2 linked regions of the Mus musculus genome follow. The protein of the gene in region 1 purifies or fractionates together with the protein of each later gene. This does not show direct contact. Links are inferred from orthologs where the notes say so. Each region holds a gene or a part of one and is shown on either strand. Other genes may lie near its edges.

Region 1 (2,834 bases):
CCATGACTCATTTCCCAAATCTGGGAAGTCAGGAAGGCGACGGAGGGAGCGAAGGAGCACGGTGCTGGGGCTGCCTCAGCACGTGCAGAAGGAGCTCGGTGAGCCTTGGTCGGTGAGCAGTGGTGGTGGATGCCCGGGAGCCTGGCCAAGCCCCTCCGCTGACCCCATGTCTGTTTCAGGCCTGCGGAACAACCGTGAGGCACCGGGCACTCCACAGCCTCCTGGTTCACGGGACGCTGTCCGCATCCCCACGGTGGATGGTCGCCCCGGTCTGGCCTTAGGGACAGGGGTCCGAGTGTCCCTGCAGGCTCTGGAAGCAGAAACAGAGGCCGGCACAGATGCAGAGGCTGTCATCCAGCGCCACATCGACCGTGTTTACCACGATGACACGCTTGTTGGCCGATCCACGGGAGCCCGGCCACCGCCACTGACGAGGCCAATGTCTCTCGCAGTGCCTGGACTGACAGGAGGAGCAGGATCTCCAGAGCCACTGAGCCCAGCCATGTCAATCTCACCCCAGGCCACCTACTTGTCGAAGCTGATCCCGCACGCCGTGCTGCCGCCCACCGTGGATGTGGTGGCCCTGGGCCGCAGCAGCCTGCGCACTCTGAGCCGTTGCAGCCTGCTCTCTGCCAGCCCAGCTTCGGTTCGCTCCCTGGGCCGCTTCTCCTCGGCTTCCAGTCCACGGCCCCGCAGCCGCAACGCTTCCTCGTCCAGTGACAACTGGAGCCACTCTCAGTCCTCCGAGACCATTGTGTCTGATGGTTCCACTCTTTCCTCTAAGGGGGGCTCTGAGGGCCAGCCAGAAGGCTCTGTAGCTAGCAATAATGTGGCGCCCCCTCCTCCAGGCGGTAGTGGGCGGGGCTCCCCCAGCGGGGGTAGCACTGCGGAGACCTCAGACACGGCCAGCATCCGAAGCAGTGGGCAGCTGTCTGGCAGGAGTGTGTCCCTGCGTAAGATGAAACGGCCTCCCCCGCCTCCCCGCCGGACCTACTCCCTCCATCAGCGCGGCTCCGCAGTGCCTGATGGGCCCTTAGGGTTGCCGCCCAAACCTGAGCGAAAGCAGCAGCCACAGCTGCCTCGGCCGCCCACTGCGGGTGGCTCTTCAGGGGTGGGGGCAGTATCTTGTCCACCCAGCTCAGCAGGCACCTGGGGCTCTGGCTTGTCCCCAGGTGGCTCCAGGCGTCCCCCACGTTCCCCAGAACGGACACTTTCACCTTCAAGTGGCTACTCGAGCCAGAGCGGTACCCCAACTCTCCCTCCCAAGGGTCTGGCAGTTGCCCCTGCTTCCCCAGGCAAGGCTCAGCCCCCCAAACCAGATCGAGTGACATCCCTTCGATCTCCTGGGGCCTCTGTATCCTCTTCCCTTACATCTCTGTGTTCCTCTTCTTCAGACCCTACTCCTTTAGACCGCTCTGGCCCACAAATGTCTACCCCCTTGAGTGACAGGTTCGTCATACCTCCTCATCCCAAGGTGCCTGCTCCTTTCTCTCCACCACCTTCCAAGTCCAAGAGCTCGAACCAAGCTGCTCCTGTTCTGGCTGCCCCTGCTGTGGCTCCTGGGCAGGTGTCCACCATCGACACCAGTCCTGCATCCCCTTCCATGCCCCAGACAACCTTGACTCCAGCCCAGGAGTCTCCTGTTGCCTCCAAAGATGAGTCACCCCCACCATCCCCACCCCCATCTTACCATCCACCCCCACCACCTACTAAGAAGCCGGAGGTGCTGGAGGAGGCCCCACCTCCTCCGGAAGCTGCTGTGGAGATCCTTCCAGATCCCAGCTGGCCGCCGCCACCACCACCTGCACCTGAGGAACAGGACCTGTCGATGGCTGACTTCCCCCCTCCTGAGGAGGTCTTCTTCAATGCAGGCCCTGAGCTTGGCCCTCTGGAGTCCTGCAGCTCTGAGGCTGCCGTCCCCCCAGCTGCTAGCTTGTCCCAGACTCCTCCGCCAGCTCCACCTCCTAGTTCTGGATCAGAACCTCTGGCCAGGCTCCCACAGAAGGACTCAGTGGGCAAGCACAGCGGGGCTCCCAGGGAGGATTCGGGCACGCCTCTGGTCACACCCTCGCTCCTGCAGATGGTCCGGCTTCGCTCTGTGGGTGCTTCCACAGGGATTCCGAACCCTTCTCCGGGTTCATCGGCCCCTCAGAAGCCTCTGCGAAGAGCCCTGTCTGGGCGCGCCAGCCCAGTGACTGCTCCCTCCTCTGGGCTCCATGCTGCCGTCCGACTCAAGGCCTCTAGCCTGGCTGCCAGTGAGAGTCCTGCGAGTGCTCTGCCCACTGGAATACCCGAGGCAGAGCCACGGTCGCCACAGTCTCCTGCCTCCAAGGCCAGCTTCATCTTCTCCAAGGGCACCAAAAAACTGCAGCTGGAGAGGCCCGTGTCCCCCGAGGCCCAGGCTGACCTCCAGCGGAATCTGGTGGCTGAACTTCGGAGCATTTCAGAGCATCGGCCACCTCCCCAGGCCCAGAAGAAGCCTTCCAAGGCTCCCCCACCAGTGGCCCGCAAACCCTCAGTGGGAGTCCCTCCTCCGTCCCCCAGTCTTCCCAGGACGGAGTCTCTTACTGCTCCATCCACCAATGGGCTCCCTCACGCTGAGGACAGGACTAACGGGGAGCTGGCGGAGAATGGAGGTGTGCAGCTGGCTGCTACAGAGAAGATGGGCTCCCCTGGTTCAGGTACTGTAGGCACTGGTGCAAAATCCGTTCTCAGAGGGCCCACCATAGGTGGGCATGCTCTTGGATCTACAAAAACTGATAGCAGTCTGAGCCTGGAGGGATAGTCGGGTCATGTGCTCTGGCAGCCGCCCGGAATAAATTTCAGTTTTGTCA
Region 2 (3,651 bases), on another chromosome or scaffold:
TAAATCTAAAAGCCAAACTCTTGTTTTGGAATTGTTTTGTGGAGATTTGTGATTCAATTTGGGTTTTGAAATGTAGAGGGAGTTCAAAGAAAAGAACATGAACATATAATTAAACTACAGAGTATAATAAAGGTATTTTGTATTATCTTTAAGTGGTAGCAACCGAGAAACTGCCAATCTAATTTAGAAAATGTGTAAGAATGTTATAAAAATTTATACAATTATATTTAATTCAATTTTGCTTACAAGCACATTGAGCTAACATACTTACCATGCGTATAATACTGTTGAGGTAGTGTGAGATGCTGTTGAGTGGAAGGGGCTGTTGTCGCAGTGTCTGCTTTGTCAGTGGGATGACACAGTGAGGAGCTGAAGCCAGAACAGTTCTTCTCTCTTGCATGTGGTTTTTTATCCTTTACCAAAACGGCTTTGGGCATTTGGCACCCGGCTCTGTTTTGGTTCATAGCTGCTAAGTAGAGAGAGGGGTTGGCACTGACTGATCCATTACCCCAAGCACAGGCCACTTCTGGTAGCCTGAAAACAGTGTTATGGTAAGAATCAGCCTCAAGAACAGATCTGAGTTTTCAGTTCTGGTGAGCTGCTTAGCCTCCATTGTTGAGCCTGCTGTGTGTTTTATAGCTTGTCTGTATTTAAAGATGGAATGGCAGTTTCTCTTCACTGAAGTGCTGAGAGGTTAAATGTCATGAAAATTAGTGAAAGCACCCATCACGGAGAGAACCTACTCATTATCTCCCGAACCACTCTCTGCTGATGGTGGGGGAAGCTCTGAACTCTGTGCTGATGTTTGTAGGTATGTCACGACAGGAGCGTGGGCCTGTTGAGATGCAGTTCTGCTGTGACCGTGCTTGTAGAGCAGTACCATTGCTCCCCTGTGACATGCAGACTCCTATGTCCATGAATTGGCCTTAAAAAATGTTAGGGTATCTTAGGGAAAATGATTGAAAATTATGACTGATTACTGACATTGCTGTGGATATTGTATTTGTATACTTACAATACAAATATATATTCCGTATACAAGGTCGTTTCTTCTTTTGATTTTGGTTTTATTTTGACTCTAAATTAGTCTTGGAATGTGTGGCAAATTTGCCCTCCCCTCCCAAGTGTTGGGAGCCATCATACTGGCTTTGCCCAGTGTTTTAATGTGAAGAAATCACTCTTAATATTAAAACTACAGTTTGGATGAATTTTGATGTAAACCTTATTTGAATATTCTGGAGAGCACAAAAGTAAGCAAAGCTAGTTTTAAATTATCACGGATGTGATGGGGCTCTGCCAGTTACCGCAGATACTAATGTACAAGATAGTCTCAGCCTTGTACGGTTAGGTTGAAATCAGCATAGTACAAATAGAAGAGTAACTTCAAAACTAATATAGATCACCCATATGTGGTATTTATAGTGTACACAGGAGCTCACACACTAGTAATTAGTCCCTCAGGCAATTCTGACCAGAAGCTATTGATAAATAAAGGTAGACAGGAGAGATGGCAGAAAAGTACAGAGGTTTATGTCGGGTGGGCTGGGCAGGAGTAGCCAGGAGAGAAAGGAAATATTGGTGGGAATGCGACCTAATGCTTCAGAGCTTGTGAGGACAAAAGCTGCATTAAAACTCATCTGGAAGATCAGGCAGGGAGTGACAGGGATAAACACGATAATAAAATGTTTACAACGACTCCTGATTTAAGGCACACAACCTTTGGGGCACACTAGCTTTATGCAGTACTAATATGTCATTCGGCTGAGTTGTCTTAGAAAAACAAGACGAATCTGTGGTTTTTTTGTTTCAGTGTCTTTGCAAGATATAACGATGAGAAAGGCTTTCCGGAGCTCCACAATTCAAGATCAGCAGCTTTTCGACCGCAAGACGTTGCCTATTCCATTGCAAGAAACATACGATGTGTGTGAGCAACCTCCGCCTCTCAATATCCTCACCCCTTACAGGTCAGCAGATAAGTTAACCCTGCTGTCTGCCTCACACTCCGCGTTTACGGGCTTGATTCACGCAATTTGTAATTGCTTTTGAGTCTAGCTAACAGAGAGGAGCCTTCCTACCTACTGCTTTCTCGAAACCTTTACTCACAGGTGAGCTTTGTAGGATCTGACATACAAAAGCCAGGGCCAGTTGAGTGATGACTATGAATAGCCACCAGCAAAGGTATTACCATGGAACTGTGTCACGGAAGTTGCCCTTGTCTTTCTAATTTAAATTTTAACCATAAGAAATTGAAGTTTGAAATTCCCCAGTGCTGACAGACAGCTGTCTGTTCCCAGTGTGTACATCTGCCCTGGCTGCATAATGGATATGTTAGGTTTTTAATACTTTCCACCACTTACTCTGATGAAGTCTGGAATGACTCAGTTTCTTGGAAATTCTTTCCCAGGGTTTGTTAAATAGGCAGTTTAAGACGTACAGCACACATCCTGGGGGGAAATGATATTGAAATTGTTGTTGGAAGCTGTAGTTCAGCATGCATGTTAGTAACTGCTCACACTGAGCTGAAAGTTAGGAAACCCCTTTGGATTTGGTAAGATAGCGAGTTGGTAGCACACCAGTGGAAACGGGAAAGGCTCTCTGTTCTAAGCGATGCTCCTGCTTTCCAGACTTTGTGATTTGGCAGAAGTATTTCTAATTATTGAATTTCCCAAAGGACTTGGAAATTTAGTATTCAGGAAAGATGGGCCCTACAGTTGGGCAACAGTGTTTAACACTATTAACCAACCCTGAAAGGCGTCTGCTTTTCCTTTTTTCATAGTTTCCTTTCTGATTTATAAAAAAAAAAAAAGAAAGAAAAGAAAAAAACTGTATTAGTATAATACTCTATTTTGACAATATTTATTTATTTTGATACACAATCTCCTTATGTCACCTGGAGTGGCCACAAGCTTGTGACCTTTTCGTCCCTTGCCTTGAGTGCCAGGGTCACTGATATGCTCCCTGCCTGGCAAGGCACTCGTGTGCACATGCTGTGTGTGTGATGCGCTGTCACGGAGGGAAGCACACTTCAGTGGTAAGCATTGGTCTGCTTGTTTCTCTGTCTCACCTAATACACTGTTGGGCGTGCTGTTTTCCAGGGATGATGGTAAGGAAGGGCTGAAGTTTTATACCAATCCTTCATATTTCTTTGATCTGTGGAAAGAAAAGATGTTGCAAGATACAGAGGACAAGAGGAAGGAAAAGAGAAAGCAGAAGGTATTGTAGAAGTTACTTTTTCTGTATTCCCGTGTTGTCGCTCCCTGGAAACGCTGTTAATCTGCACTTTGGCAGCCCTGCTTTGTTGGGTCCGTGCATTAAAGTCCTTATAATTACACAGATCACTAGAGAGTGTCTTGCAGATGTGAGTAAAGTTGATAAATGAAGCCACTGTGTTTCTGCCACACCACGTGGCCTAGCTGTCTTCAGCAGGCTACTGTCTTCTCTTTCCTTTTGCTGGCCTCTTGCGCTTTACTTCCCACTTTGATAAGATTTTCCCGAATCTGCTTGATTTCATATTTTAAATCTGATGATTGTACAAGCATGTGGAAGGAGGACGAGACAAGTCTTATTTTGACACAGTCTGTCTTCACCATGTCTGTCTATCTCCGCCTTCCTCAGTCCCCATAATACCCTCTTGTTGCATGGGAATGTGCT

The links. Proteins that work in one complex are often made in the same cells at the same time.
Region 2: the proteins of C77080 (region 1) and Wasf1 purify together in Homo sapiens (affinity purification with mass spectrometry; 3 studies listed by BioGRID and IntAct, with this or other methods). This does not show direct contact. The link is inferred for Mus musculus from reciprocal best matches to the Homo sapiens genes NHSL3 and WASF1.

What each region holds. Positions count from the first base shown.
Region 1 is NC_000070.6:129,221,662-129,224,495, reverse strand, and holds part of C77080 (uncharacterized protein KIAA1522), read left to right. Parts: coding exon 1-98; intron 99-179; coding exon 180-2,681; intron 2,682-2,834. UniProt on the Homo sapiens protein: Able to directly activate the TNF-NFkappaB signaling pathway.
Region 2 is NC_000076.6:40,928,821-40,932,471, forward strand, and holds part of Wasf1 (wiskott-Aldrich syndrome protein family member 1), read left to right. Parts: intron 1-1,810; coding exon 1,811-1,964; intron 1,965-3,095; coding exon 3,096-3,213; intron 3,214-3,651.